Diceros bicornis minor: one gene and its partner. The protein of the gene in region 2 binds, or shares a complex with, the protein of the main gene of each other region. Links are inferred from orthologs where the notes say so. Each region holds a gene or a part of one and is shown on either strand. Other genes may lie near its edges. The genes, in order: ARF6 and SPAG9.

What was found.
Region 1: the proteins of SPAG9 (region 2) and ARF6 are in contact, whole or in part, in a crystal structure (PDB 2W83), measured with the Homo sapiens proteins. The link is inferred for Diceros bicornis minor from reciprocal best matches to the Homo sapiens genes SPAG9 and ARF6. Residues at the interface, in NP_001124000.1 of Homo sapiens: Lys431, Asn432, Ile435, Val438, Asp439, Thr442, Cys443, Asp446, Val447, Gln449; in NP_001654.1 of Homo sapiens: Glu13, Arg15, Lys34, Phe47, Val49, Glu50, Thr51, Thr53, Lys58, Asn60, Trp62, His76, Tyr77, Thr79.

Annotation. Positions count from the first base shown.
Region 1 is NC_080744.1:2,126,801-2,134,161, forward strand, and holds the start of ARF6 (ADP-ribosylation factor 6), read right to left. Parts: upstream 3,112-7,361; 5' UTR 3,052-3,111; intron 2,975-3,051; 5' UTR 2,662-2,974; coding exon 2,134-2,661; 3' UTR 1-2,133. UniProt on the Homo sapiens protein: GTP-binding protein involved in protein trafficking that regulates endocytic recycling and cytoskeleton remodeling. GTP-bound form plays an important role in the transport of multiple palmitoylated proteins form the Golgi to the plasma membrane.
Region 2 is NC_080757.1:35,322,259-35,330,502, reverse strand, and holds the start of SPAG9 (C-Jun-amino-terminal kinase-interacting protein 4), read right to left. Parts: upstream 3,060-8,244; 5' UTR 2,953-3,059; coding exon 2,650-2,952; intron 1-2,649. UniProt on the Homo sapiens protein: The JNK-interacting protein (JIP) group of scaffold proteins selectively mediates JNK signaling by aggregating specific components of the MAPK cascade to form a functional JNK signaling module.

The DNA of each region.
Region 1 (7,361 bases), on a different chromosome or scaffold from region 2:
TCCAGTTTAGGCATTTATACCTTTGTGCTTGTCTTATTTCTGGATGTTACTACAGCATTGATATTTGTATAACCCATGTTTATGTACCTTAAATGTAATCATCTAAAACACTAAGAATTTATGGTGGAGCTTTGGGAATTTCAAAGGCAACTAAAATGTTCTTATACATGTCTGACAGCTTCTAGAGATATTCTACTGAAGTGAAACAGAACTTTATACTTTAGTTGCATTTTGAATTCAAAAATCCCTCTGCACCATCAGGAGCCTACGACATAGCACCTTTTCTTATCTGCTTTAAGCAAAATGTTTCCCAAAAGTTTTACTTTGAAGAGTTAACTTTTTGTAGCCTTATGCTTCTCGTATGTCTTTGGTAAAAGCTCCATTTACACAATATGGCCAAAGCATGAAGGACCAATACTGTCCAACTAGATACCATGATATCCCGCTCAATTTTAGTTTTCAAATACCCTCATAAACAAAACCAACTCCACCTTTTCCTGCGTACTGCTTTTGCAGTCTATGTTTCTGAAATTCCCTAAGTTTAATTCCTTGAGGATCTCCAAAATTAATCCTTAAGGCTATATAAGAACCAGATGCTGCTTCACAATTCTGTTACCAAGCATTAACATTTGGTTCAAAGTATTATCATACTGGTCTCAGTAATCTAGTTACTGGTCCTAACCAGCTAAGCAAGTAATCTCCTTAGGATCTGGGTATCACCAGTGAGCCCACTGCTTACCCTTGAAGAAAAATGAGTTTACATTCATCGTCATCTGTAGGTTCTTCCTCTTCATCCTACCTCCCCTTTAATTGTCATTCCTCACGTCTACACATCATTCATTCATCACATTTCCTTCATTAAAGGAGATAGTGTATTATTGAACCAACAGGATATCTGACTTGCATGAGTTAATCCTACAACCAGAATTAAATATCCTATAAAACATCATTTCCAGTGTTCTAATTAATGGAGATGTGGATCACTCATCTATAAAAAAAGACTTCTACTGTCAGCTTAATCAGTTGCTGTAATGTGAAAACAAGAACGTGTATTTTTCCAACTAGGTAAAAGGTGCATATAATTTGAATTGTTAAATGCTTTATTCATGAACAAAGTAAACGTTCTAGTAATTTTAAAATTATTGGTCTTAGACATTTGAAACATGGTAAAAGTATATATTCCAGTTTTGCCCAAAAGTCACTTAAGATATCTACAAATATTTCATCTGTGTGTGGCATAGACCATTATTGCTCCATTTTCTGGAAAGAGTCTATTTTTAAAGTTAAAAAAGAGGGAAAACACAGCAAAGTTGCTAACTTTGCAGTGAAAAAAATCTGTGGTTACACTTTCATAGTTTTTTCATAGTTTTATGCAGTGTAAGTTAGCTACGTAATGGGGAACTTGACTTTTATCCCTACTCATGCATGGTGTTATGTTTCAGAATTTAATAGCTGACATTTCAAAGAACTTCTTACATGACCTGTTTTAATATACTGATGTACAACTGGAATATATTACAATGATATTACTCATTATTTGCCACTGTGGGCTAAGTTTACTATACTGGTCTTAGATAAAAGGTCACACTGGAAATTACTAAAAGTTAGAACTCATAAGGGAAGGAGAAAAGGCCTTAAATATAAAAGACAAACGGCAGTTTGATTAAGCAATAATTTTCAGTTTACTAGATGAAACAGACTTGCAACATAGTCTGCATGAATGCAAAATAAGCCATCTACAGCAAGTGATAAGGAAACTGGGCAAAAAGGAAAAAAAGCATACATTGGAAAAAAAGATTCTCTCGAAATAAAAAAATCAAACCATTATTATAAAGGACTTTACCAAGAACTGCTATATTTCCCCATCCCATTTGCTGGAAGTCAACAAGAGCATCTAGCACTTCGTGTTCATGTCAAATGTCAGATCAGAGCATTCTAACGCAAAGCGGGGAAAAAAAAAAAAAGAAACCAACAAAAAAGAAAACCCCTCAACCCCCCCCAAACCGTTGAACAGTAACTCCAGAGTTCGAATTGAAAAGAAGAGAAAGTGGCCATTGGAAGAGGTGATGGTGGCGATAATCCTATGAATGGGTTCCGATTCCTCTCCTTCCGGGGATGGGTGGAGAACGCTCATTAGGATTTGTAGTTAGAGGTTAACCATGTGAGCCCCTCATAGAGTCCGTCCCCCGAGGTGGCACACGAGGGCTGCACATACCAGTTCCTGTCCCGAATCCGGGTCAGGCCCAGTTTCTCCTGGATCTCGTGGGGCTTCATGGCATCGGGCAGGTCCTGCTTGTTGGCGAAGATGAGGATGATGGCGTCCCGCATCTCCCGGTCGTTGATGATGCGGTGCAGCTCCTGGCGGGCCTCGTCGATGCGGTCGCGGTCGGCGCAGTCCACCACGAAGATCAGGCCCTGGGTCCCGGTGTAGTAGTGCCGCCAGAGCGGCCGGATCTTGTCCTGGCCGCCCACGTCCCACACGTTGAACTTCACGTTTTTGTAAGTCACCGTCTCCACGTTGAAGCCCACCGTGGGGATGGTGGTCACCGACTGGCCGAGCTTCAGCTTGTACAGGATGGTGGTCTTGCCGGCCGCGTCCAGGCCCAGCATGAGGATCCGCATCTCCTTGTTCCCGAAGATCTTGGACAGCACCTTCCCCATCGCGCCGGAGCGGCCGGGCCCGGGGGCATTCAGGGTCGCGGGGCCGGAACCAGCCGGGGCGCGCGCTCCGTGGGCCGCCTCGTGGGCAGGCCGCCCGCTCACTCGGGCATCACCCGCCCGCGCCGCTTCCTGCCGCGCCCGCGAGCCCGCGCGGCCGCGCCCTGCCGGGGGGAGCGGGCGGGCCGGCCGGAACCGCCCTCCGCGGCCCGAGCCCGCTCCTAAGCCGCCGCCGCCGCCCGGGCCGGGTCGCCGCCGAGCAGGCCACGCGAGGGGCAGGGGCCGCGTCAGGGGCCGACCGGGACTCGGGCGCTGCCTGCGGAGACACAGAGAGAGGGTTACGGCGGGCTCCGGGAGCACCGCGGCACCGCCCGTCCGGCTGGGCCAGGTTACCTCGGCCGCCGCCCCGAGCGCGGGCTCCTCCGGCCGCCACCGCCTCCGCCCAGCTCTGCCGCCGCCGCCGCCGCCGCCGCCGCCGGAAAAGGCGCCGAGGAAACCGCCTCACTTCCCCTCCCGACCGCGCATGCGCGGCGCGGGCGGCCGTTCGGACGGGCGCGACCCCTGTCAGGAGAGCGGCCCGCGCGCCCGCGTCATGGCGCCGTGCGAGGGGCGGGGCTACGGCGGCCCGGAGGGCTCGCGAATCTCTGACTTGGTCCCGCGGCCCCGGCGCCTGCTTGGCGTCTCCTCCCCTCCCCTCTCCCGGTTCCGCGCTCTCTCGCCGCCCGCCGCCTCGAACCGGAGGAGCGATGCGCGGGGTGGGGCCGCGCCTTCGCGCCCTGACGCCCGGAGCCCCGCGTGGTCTTCCCTCCCCGCGTCTCCGGGCCTCCCGTCTCACTCGTGCCCCGGGCGTCTCCCGGAAGCGCGGGGAGGCCGGGCTGGGTGTGGAGCCGGCGTGGAGTGGCGCCGAGGCCCCGCCTGTGCCCGCCCGTCGGCCCCAGTCCGCGTCCTTAAGTGACGGTGTGACTGGCGGTCCCTGCCGGCCGCGTCCTCGGCTCTGTAGGAGGCCATGGCTTCTCTCTTTAAACACCGCCTCCTTTCAGGGAGATGGCAGCCGCCTCCCGCCACTCCTCACTGGGAGAGGCCCCGGCGGCAGTCAGCGCAGGAGGGACTCCGGCATCGGCCCGGGTCCAGGCCTTCAACCTCGCGCTTCGTGCGCACACCGAGTGTCACGCTGACCTTGCTCTCTGCACCCCGTTTCAGCGTTAAATAACATGCCATTTGTGCAAGACTTTAGGAAAACTTTTTGTTTCAAATGGTTAGTGATAAGGTTAGACTTCAAATAAGGTGAAAGTTTAAAATCAATGAACCAAGGGGAGGAAAAACAGGAAGTAGGTTTTTTTTTTAAAGGAAGATGATATAACAGCATATGGTAACGTACTTTTTATTTAACAATTTAAGAAAATTTGACAGTGGTAGCTTGGTTAAATAATAACCTTATAAGCTTCAGCCTGAAATAGACTTACTAAAGTTATTAATATTCTGACAGTGATCTAATTTGCTTTCCATCTGCCTTAATAGGCACTGTCATAAAACTGAAAGAAGGATTTGAAGTCAGAAGATTGGGGTTCGGTGTGTCACCCCTCCATTTTATAGCTGTGAATTTTTAAGTGTAAACTTTTGTAAACTTTATTTATTTGTAAAATCAGATGAATATGAATGAAAATAGTCGTCATTTATTTAGTGTTCGTAATGGTAAACACTGAACTAAATACTTTAAATGTTTTGTTTTAGTCCGCACAGCAACCACATGAGGTAGCTTTGAGTATTAATATTTTCATATGAGGAAACTGAGAGTCAGAGAGCTTAAGTAATTTTTGGAAGGTCACAGAGCTTAGATTAAATCGTGAATCTACAGCTCATCCTCTTAACCCCGAAATTGTGCTGTCTCCCTGACTACCTCACACAGTTGTTTGGAAGCTCAATTACAGCATTTCTCAAAATGCTTTATACCTATAAAGTGCCATAGTAATTATTGTTATATCTTATGTGGCAAATAGAGGCGGGTGTTGTATTTTGTTTCATTCCAACGTAATAGTTTTCTCACAGCAGATTCCAGTTTTTCCAAGTGGAGGGGAGGTTGATCTGCGGGGCTTGGATTTATTTTTCAGTGGAAGGCATGATATAATTAAAAATATAAGCAACTTGAATCACTAGCATCTTCCAGGCACTGGCACTGTGCTAGGGCTAAAAAAGTTATTTTTGAAAGCCTTCTTGCATTTTTTCCCCACCAGAATGCAAGCTTCATGGAGGCAGAGACTTTGTCTTGTCAACATAATGTTCCCAGTGACAGCATGTAGGTATCAGGAGTTCAGTCATTATTTGAATGAGTGAATGAATGCCTTTTATACCACAGGTAAGACAAAAAAGAAAAGGTACATACTATTTTTATCTGGGGGTTTGAAATAGTATGTTAATTGACAGGCTTTTCATACAGTGGCATATCTTAGAGTACTGGATTTCTGGAGTGGCTCGCCATATGATAAATTATACAATAAATTATTTTAAGTAATAATCATTAATAATAGCCAGAAAATAAATACAAAGACTGAAAAATTTTAACTTTGTATGTGTAATCATGGCAGTCAAAAAAAATAGTAAGTGAATTTCAATAAAACGAAAATATCTGCAAAAAGTAACAATTTAGGCAACTGCTAAATCATACCACCAATGAAACATTTTTTCTCAATTCCTTCTTGAAAGAGTTAACAGTTCAAAAAAGGTAAATTTCAATTTTAAAAATATTATTTCTGTTCAGTGAAATATTTTACAGATAAACTAAAATTTACATTTCTGAAACAAAATATTGGATTTCTCAGTTTGCACTGTTTCACTGTTTTAGACACAAATGAAAGCTCCAAAAATTATAGAAAAGTTGATCTCTGCTGTTTAACTCAAAGCCTGCAAGTGAAGAGAGTTCTCCAGCTTACTTTCAAACCAGGCTTCCCCTTTATAAAACACCATTTCATAATTTCTGATCTGTTCAACAACCACATATAATAATATGCTTATGATATTCCTGACTAAAATACCATCTTATAAGAAAATATTTACTTTTAAAAATGGCTTGGCTTTCTGCTTTTGAAATGAAATGAACAAGTCTTCTTGAACAATAGCACCCCATGCTGTTTTCCCCTATTTCTGGAATTCCTGGAGCTCTTTAAAAGCACTCATGCTGTATGATTCTGTAGTATTTTTCTTTCTATCCCATGCAGTGCCAAGAACAATTCTGACCACATGGTGAGGGTGCAAGGGTGCTCTGACTACATACCTGTTTGAGGAAGGTATCATCCCCTACTTATGGCTTCAGTTTGAGCCCTTCATCCAGGCTTACTCAGAATTGAGTTCTATCTAGAGAAGGCGTAGAGCCCCAGGAAATCTTATTAGCAGTAGAAATAAAGAGTAAATAACAAGCCATAATAAAGTATATCTTTAGATAAAAAAAAAAAATTACTAATCCTTTCCAGCTGAAACTAATTGAGGCTGCAGCGTTAGCTCTCCCTTGGTATTGTACCTATGTGTTTTTAAGCTCTCTCAGAGAGGTGTGTTCTTTTCATCTTTGAATCTTTAGTGCCAGCATAATGCCTAGTATGTAGTAAAATAAAGTTTCAAACATTTTTTGATGATACACAGTAAAAGATTGAGACTCTCAAAAATAAAACTGAGAAATCCAGTGAATACAATGAAAACAATTCATTTATAAGTATTCTTGGTAACTTTAATGGATGCAAATATGGTGGTTCCCTCCCTCATCCTTTCCCTGTGTCAGCTGAGGAATCACTTTCTAGTTCTTCCGATTGATTGATTGATTGATTGCAGAGAAAGAGTCGCCCTGAGCTAACATCTGTTGCCAATCTTCCCCACACCTGTTTTCTCCTGAAAGCCGCAGTGCATGGCTGTATATCCTAGTTGTAAGTCTTTCTAGTTCTTCTATGTGAGCCACCACCACAGCATGGCAACTGATGGACAGATGGTGTGGTTCGTGCCCTGGAAGTGAACCCAGGCCACTGAAGCAGAGTGCACCGAACTTTAACCACTAGGCCATCAGGGCTGGCTTTAGTTCTTCCTCTTTAACCATAAAAAAAGTTGTATCCCAATCGAAACCTTGATGATTAATTTAGTTATGCCTGAGTATGAAGACTTCATCTCATTTTTAGCAATATTAAAAGTGGGAATAATAGAACTAAAAACAAAAGTTTAAATTATAGCTGATAGTTTAGCAAACTGTTTAATAGTTACAGCTTCAGACCATAAAAATAAATGCTGAGGCAACATGGTCTAGTGGCTCAAGTGAAGAGAAAAAGCTAAATTACATCCTTAAACTACTCCCAACACTTGTTGACTTAGGTTTAACTTGGTTAAGTTATTCACCTCATTGATCATCAATTTCTCTATTTCTGTGGTAGAGAAATCTCTCTTAATTGATGAGGGCGGTGTGTATTACTCCTCTTTACAGCTGAAGGAGCTCGGACACTGAGAGGGTGAGCAACTTTCTTAAGATCAAGGACTGGTACAAAGGAGATTCAAACTAAGATTTTTTGATGCAAGTCTGGTGTTCTTTTCTCTATTGTACCAAATTATTTTGTGAACTCAGCAAGCTGGACTAGATAAATGGTTTTCAGCCCTGGCTGCACGTTAAAATCACCTGGGGGCGTTTTTAAACCGCACAAATGCTTGAGCCCCACCCCAGATCAACGAAGTCAAAA
Region 2 (8,244 bases):
TGGATAGAGTAGACAGGCAAGGTCTAGATGAAGAAGTGAAATTTAAGCTGAGCCGAAAGTGAGAAGCTAGAAAAGGTGAAGCTCTGAGAGAAAAGCATAGTAGGCCAAGGGAACAGCATGGGCGAAGGCATCAGACAAGACTTGCTTAAGGAATGGAAAGACATCTGGCTGGAGTAGAGAGCCCAAAGAGAAGAGAGGTGAGCAACAGGATGAAGATTTCCTGATTAGCATTTGAAACTGGTCACAAACCCACCTAAAATTAGCCCTCCTTTAGGTTGTTTTTAAAGACTCACAAAAACAGCAGGCTAATTCTACACAAAAACATTCACATAAAAGCAAAGAAGAAGACAGAAGGTATTCAAATTAAGTAATATTATTATAATAAAGATTAAGTTTCTGATTTCTTGTTGAGAATTCCGGCAAGCAAGAGATTATAGCACTTCACACCTCCTAAAACATTCTCACCATTCACATACCCTCCTAAATTTCCACAAAGGTGCTTAGAATTTACTTTACACTTTCTGGGGATGGACCATTTACATACTTTCAAATACTTATGCTGTAAATGCCCTGAGGCACTTTTGCTCTAATAGCAGACTCTTAGTTTCCATATTAAAGGCCACAAACAAAGCACTCACAGAAAATTAAACACAGAATTCACCTCTGCATATTGGCCTAAGAGAGAATGAATTTCTGGGTACTGGGTAAAACTTGATTTATGATCTTACTTGAAGACTGATAACAAGGTGGTTTTATGTTTGTGGTCTGGGAGTTGGCTCATCTAGCGTTTCATCAATGTTCTCTATTCTCAGGTCATGGCCCTTTGCCAAAAGGTTTCATTAGAGAGAATTTATAGATGTGTTTGAAAAAGTATAAATTACAAAGGAAGTCACTGGATAACCCATGTTTAAAAAGTTATTTATTTACGAAATTAATATATAACCCAGAGCCCAGCAGTTAGTCAGTTTTATTTTCTGATTCTGCAACCTGTGGCAGATGGTTTTCCTGGCACGTGTGACCTTGGCATTTTGCCCATGTTTATATGAACTCACAGGAGTTGAAGGCTGGAGGGAGCATTTCTTTTACCCCAGGTGATAGGTCATGCTGGGCCTGCTCCTCACCTGTGTGTATATGTGGTTAATTCCCCAGTCTTTTCCATGTACATCCACACACTGGCAAGGGCCTGTGTGGGCATGAAGATATGGCATGCCCTCTCAGAAGCAGTACATGACCTCTGTTCTATAAATCGTGCTATTAAACTAGTGGAAATTGTGATCCCATCCTTAGATTTTTTTCAACCCCTCCTTCCCTATATACTTCGAAATACTCTTGAAATAAAGTCAATTTTGTTTGGCAAATATAACAGCATTCCTTTAAGTCAAATGACTCACAAAATCAGAACTAAAAATCATCACTACAGTAAAGCTTGAAAAAGAACTATTTGACCTGGTACAAAGGTCTATGTGACAAAAAGTTTAAACGGTGGTACTATTTAGTGTTAGGAAATGAGCTGCGAAACAAATCTCACATTCCAAAAACTTTTCAAGTATTTTTGAAAGAGAACATGTCATTCCTTCAATAATTAGTCATTTAGTTCCCTTCAATCACCATGTATTTAGACACCAGGTGTACTACACGCTCAAGAAACAAAGATGAACAGGACACTTCACTTGCATTAGGTAAGTTCTACAGAAATAATGCCAACACAGCCTGAAAGCTAAAATCCTTGACTGTCTCAAGATGTCCAAGACCGACCACCTGCACCGCAGAGCTCCAAAAGGTTCACAGACTTGAGGGGAGGGCACAGAGATCACTGCTGAGGTGCTAGAGTTGAGAGCCGGCCAAATGCACCTGTAAACTGCAGTCTGAAATGGGTTGCCAGCAGTCACCTACAACCTCCTCAAACCCGCCCGCCCCTCGCCCCGTCCTCTTTATAAATAGAGTTTTTAAAGGGAACTGTCCAAGGTTACCACCTGATATGGAGGAATGCTTTGCTGTGGGATACATAAAATAAAGTTGTATACTCTCCATATTTACAGAGTATTGCTTTACAACACCTAAGTGTTGACAAAGTGTCAACCAAGGCATACAAAACATAAAATTAAACCTCTGTTTCAACAGCGTTAAAACATCAAAAAGAAACTGACCGAAAGAGGGAGATCTCTAACTTCCCAAAGCAGCAACCCCCTGGAAAGGTACTGGAAGCAGCGGAAGTTACATACATATTTAAATGCCACCACCACCCCCCCCTCGTCGTGGTAAAAGTTTGAACCACCATCTGACTATCCTACGGTGGTCGGAAGCTTCCCTAAACTACAAGAGGCGACCAGACATCCTAAAATCTCTGCCCTCAGCCAACCCCAGGTGCCCTCATGCCAGGCTGTGGCTTCCTCCCCGGGCCCTGCCTCCCCCATCTCACTCCCTTCTCCTGGACACTCACTCGTCCGCCTCGGCTTCCGACGCGGGCCGGGGGTCCCGGGGACCTCTCGGCCTCCGGACTCAGTCGGGGGGCCTCGGCCTCAGGCCCGCCCCTAGGAGGCCCGGCGCACCCCCCTCCCGGGCCAGGCCCGGCCGCGACCCGCGACCCCTGGCCCCCGGCCCGCCCTCGGGCCCGGCCCCCGCCCTCCCCGCCGGCCGGCCGGCCCTCACCTCCTCGGCGTGCTTGCGCAGCGCCTTCTCCCGCTCGTACTGGGTGATGAGCTGCTCGTTGTCGTCCCGCAGCAGCTCCAGCTCCACCTGGTGCTCCTGGTCCTGCGCGAACACCGAGTCCAGGTTCTCCAGCACGGCCACCACCAGTGGCATCAGCTCCTTGACCACCTCCTCGTCGTAGCGCCCGATGAGCCGCTCGAACTCGCGGTAGATGGAGCCGGCCAGGCCGGACACCCGCTCCGACATCACGGCCCCAGAGCCGCCGGGCTCCTCCTGGTACACCACACCGTCCTCCAGCTCCATGGTGGCGGGCAGGCGGGCGGGCGGCCCGGGGCGTCGCCGGCTGAGGGGGCGGCACGGGCCCGCACGGGACGGGCCCGGCTCGGGCTCGGGCTAGGGTTGGGGCTAGGGCCGGGGCTGGGCCCGGCGGGGTGGGAGCCCGGGCCGGAGGAGGGGAGGGGTGGGGTAAGCGCCCTCAGCCCAACCGCCGCTGCACCAACTGCCGGGGCGGCCGGGCCTCACGCGCACACGTCACCCGCGGGGCGGGACTCGCGCCGCGTCGGCCCGATGGGCGGGGCCCCGCGGGAGGTAAGGAGCGGCCGGGGCGGGGCCAATACGTCATCGTGCGCCGGCAGGGGCCGTGACGTCAACACTCGGCGCCGCGCGTACAGTGCGTTCGCCAATGGGAAAAACGGCGACAGGAGGGTGGCGACAACTGTCAGCACGAGGCGGGATTTGCAGGGCGGGTCCCAAAGGAAAGGGAAGGGTTCTGCAAGAGTGACTACACGTCCAGAATTAACGTAGCTAACTTCTGTTGCTTTTTACAGCTCACAAGGACTTTCTCATTTGTTCCGCGCAACAGGCGTGGTGCGGTAGACGTTTCGCCTGCGTTTCCCAGACATGGAGAGTAGGCTCGGAGAAGTTGTGGTTCACTCAAGGTCACACGGCTAGAACGGGAAGAAAGCTGATCGGGGACTCAGACCAGTTCTGACTGAGAATTCCGGGGTCAGAGGAAAGTGGGGAAACCTTAACTAAAACCAGGTCTACCTAAGTGATAAGGTGGTCTCAAATAGGATGGAACTATCTGGGGATAATGAGAGTAACGATAGCCTAAAACAGAGGAAGTGCAAAGCATTCTGGAGAAGGGTAAAACTGTAACTCCACGTCTCGCACCTTCCCAAACTCGGGGTTTTCTCTGCTTCTCCTGGCCAGCCTGGGAGAGTGGCATTTCCTGCCTCCAGCCACCCTCTTATCTTCTCGTCTTGAAGGGGGGCGGAGGAGGCAAGAAGGGGGTTGAGGAGTAGAGGAGGAAAGGGGTGGAGTCACTGGGGTGAATAAGTCCCATGATGCGTGAGGTATCCGCCGCCTGGAAAAGCATCACGTGTGGGGAATGACACAACACCCAAGCCTCAGGCGGGCTGAGTCAAGGATCGCTTCCCGGTGTTCTCATCTAGCCTCTGCAAACGGAGCGGAAGACACTCCCAAAAGCCCCTTCTTTCCGCGGCAGGTGACTCAAGAGTTCTGCGGCCCCGGTTCCTCTAAGAATAGGGGGAGGGAAGGCAGGACTTGGATAGACAAGGGTTTAGCGGGGGAATCGGCCACCTCCTGGGATCATAAATACCCTCAACGTGATGTTTACAAGTTCATCTTCTTCCTACCAAGCAGTAGCTAGTCCTCCGAAGTCTCCCAATCTGGACCCACCTGGAGACCCACAAGAACAGGATGGAGGTTGGGCGAGGGCCAATCTATAAACTCAGAAGGACAAAAATGAACGTGCTAAGCCTTATGATGTCAAATGGGAATGAATTTGCGGCCTGTACTGTCCCCTTTCTCACCATCACCCCACATCCACCTTTATATTGTTTGTGTGTGTGTCAGGGTTTCAGGAATGCGGATCAGCTAGTTGGGTGTGAGCCCCAAATGCCCTTTCTCTTCTAAACCTCACATTTGAAAACCAGAAAAAAGGGTCTTCCTCTGGATCTTTGTTTTCTCTTCTTTTTTCTCTTCCTGAGGGCTGTTTCTGAGGCAATCTACCTATATATATATGCCTCTATTTTGCTGGGATTCAGAGGAACAGGAAAACTTAGGACAAAGCTTTACTTTGTCTTTCCACAATATTATATACATAAGAAAATTTAGATAAAAAATGTCTTTATTTTCAGGTATGAGATTATAATAAAGTCTTCATAATAAGTATGCTTCTTTAAATTCAACATAGATATGAGATATATATTTATGTCTTGATTTTAAGCTTCTGCTATCAGAGATCACATTTAATTGTTTAAAATTCAGCCATATGCCCATCAACTGTTGAATAGATTTAAAAAATATGGTGTATGCATCTAACAGAATATTTATTATTCCGCAATACAAAGAATGAAGTACATGCCACAACATAGATGAATCCTGAATATATTATGCTAGGTAAAAGCAACCAGTCACAAAGAGCCATGTATGAAAGATCAGTGGTAGGGCCAGCCCCGTGGCTTAGCCGTTGAGTGCGCGCGCTCTGCTACTGGTGGCCTGGGTTCAGATCCCAGGCGTGCACCGGCGCACTGCTTGTCTGGCCACGCTGAGGCGGAGTCCCACATACAGCAACTAGAGGGATGTGCAACTATCAACAACTATCTACTGGGGCTTTGGGGAGACAAGGGGGAAAAAAAAAAAAAAGATCAGTGGTTGCCTAGGGCTGACTGGAGGAATGAGAGAAAAGAAGGGTGATTGCTAATGGGTATGGGGTTTCTTGGGGAGGTAATGAAAATGCTCTAAAATTGATTGTGGTGATAGATACACGACTCTGAATATACTAAAAACCATTGAATTGTACACTTTAAATTGGTGAATTGTATGATATGTGAATTGTATCTCAATAAAGCTGTTAAAAAATAAAATTTTTGGCTATAATGAGTTTATAGTAAACCCAAATGGAAGCACTTAACTCGGTGAGATAGAATGGAAACAAAACAGCGTTTAAAGTGAGAACCTGGGCCGGCCCCTTGGCTTAGCGGTTAAGTGCGCGCGCTCTGCTGCTGGTGGCCCAGGGTTCGATCCCTGGCACGCACTGAGGCACCGCTTCTCCGCCCATGCTGAGGCCACGTCCCACAAACAGCAACTAGAAGGATGTGCAGCTTGACATACAACTATCTACTGGGCTTTGGGGAAATAAATAAATAAATAAATAAAATTATAAAGTGAGAACCTTGTATTCTAGTATGGACTGGTCATTTTGAAAAAACTTAGGCCAGAAACAAAAAAGTAAATAGTTACTCAGTACTACTCGGTGCCAGGCACTGCGCTAAGGACTGTGAGCCTGAGCTTCTTCATCTGGATAGTGAAGAGGTGTGTTACCGAATCTATGAAGATTGCTTGCAATTCTAAAATCCTATGATTCTCGTTTGTAGGTGGGAGTGAAAGGAGACAGGGCCTTGAGACTGAGTTGCGTTAGTCGACTCCTAATTATGTAGGCGGTAATACTACTTCTTATGCTCAACTGCCTGGATAAATCCCCAGCACCCACCTCTAACCCCAAGGGCCAAGATTATTGTTAAAGACTAAGAGTCATTCAGGAAAACAGGTCATATTGTGGACTGCAGGGTAAATGTTTACTCTTGATTCCTAAAAGGAAGGAAATTCCGTTTCGAGAGATTCTTTGGCCTTGCAAAAATAGTGAGGACAGTAATGGGGCAGCAGAGGGGAGGAGTTGATGAGGGCAGGAAGGGAGGAGTTTTTTCCTAAGCACAATAACTATAATCACTGGAACACTGAAATTACTGGTCCTGTTATTTGTCTAGCCTTCTGGAACTTTTACAGTTATTTCTATGTGAATCAGTTTGTCTGGTTTCACAAACTACATTTTCCCACATGGGGAGAGACGGTTGCTGAGAGAGGAAGGGAAAAGAGGGCTCCCAGTGCACAAGGCCCTCCACTTATGGCGGTGTGAAATGATAAGTGATTCATCACCCCATCCAAACTAGAACGTGCTTGGTGAGGCAGTCTAGCTGTGGAATCCGGGACTCTTGAAAAGTGCCGGAGGATTTTTCTGAGCCCTCAGTTTTCCCTTTGAAAGCCTTTTTAAGGTGTCAGGATACAATGGATAAATATGTCCAGGTTCAAGTTGCAAGAAACCCTCTAGACAAGAGCTATTTCCTTGGAACCCCCTCTTCTCCCCCTCCCCTCAGAACTTTGGACTACCAGAAATTGCCTCTAAGATGAGGAGGCTGAACATATTGCTGAAGCAAGAATCCCAGTATCTGAGGCTATTTTTGATGGGCCCAAGGTATATTGGTCATATTCGTGTTCAGGTCTATTTTCTCCCTACCTCCATCTGACTTGAGTGGAGTGGAAGAAGAGGAGGCCCATCACCCAACTCTCAGTATATTTTTTACACATTGAGCCGAATCTCACTCTGGGAATAAAAGATATGTTTTCAAAACAGTGAGTTGGTTGGATTTTTTCCCCAATTATAGACGAAATGCATACTTACTGTAGAAAATTTGCTAAATACAGAAAAGCACAGAGAGGAAAATTAAAATCACTCAGGTAATGCCATCTCCCAGATATCACATGGTTAACATTTTTGTGTGTGTGTGTGAGGAAGATCAGCCCTGAGCTAACATCCATGCCAATCCTCCTCTTTTTGCTGAGGCAGATTGACCGCGAGCTAACATCCCTGCCGATCTTCCTCTACTTTATGTGGGACACCGCTACGGCGTGGCCTGACAACGGGTGCATCGGTCCACGCCTGGGATCCGAACCCAGGCCACCAGCAGTGGAGCACGCTCACTTAACCACTTTGCCATGGGGCTGGCCACACACATGGTTAACATTTAACAATCTATAAGGTGATCCAGGAAGTCTTCACTGTCTCTGTGGGAAAGGTGTCAAGTGCAAGAGGACTTGTTTTCTCTGAAGCAAGTAAGCATCCGATGAAACTCGTTAGCAAGAAACCTGAATTTTGTCTCCCTACTCCCTCACTTGAGTCTCCTAAGTAAATAGATAAGAAAAGTATAGATTAGATTGATTGTAATTAGTCTTTGGGTTGTCAACATGATGTAATCTACACAGAAATCAAAATATAATGATGTATACCTGAAATTTATATAATGTTATAAACCAATGTTACCACAATAAATTTAAAAAAAAGAAAAAAGAAAGGTATTTTAGGAAACATCAGACAAACCTGGACCCCATTTCCAAAAGAGTCTTTAAATAGATTTCATTGAGGATGACATTGCAAATCCATTGTAGTTTAGAAATTAATTTTGATACATTTATTAACAGTCATGCTGAGAAAGGAAAGAGGATGAGAAGAAACTGTCAAGCAAGCCCTGACAGCCTAGTGGTTAAAGTTCGGCACACTTTGCTTTTGCAGCACAAGTCAGTTCCCGGGCACGGAACCACACCACTCCCCTGTCAGTAGCCATGATGTGGCGGTGGCTCACACAGGAGAACTAGAAGGGCTTTAAAATATACAACTATATACTGGGGCTCTGGGAAGCAAAAAAAAGGTTGGGGGGAGATTTGCAACAGATATTAGCTCAGAGTGAATCTTTCCTAGCAAAAAAAAAACAGGAAACTGTCCAATTTTTCTAAATG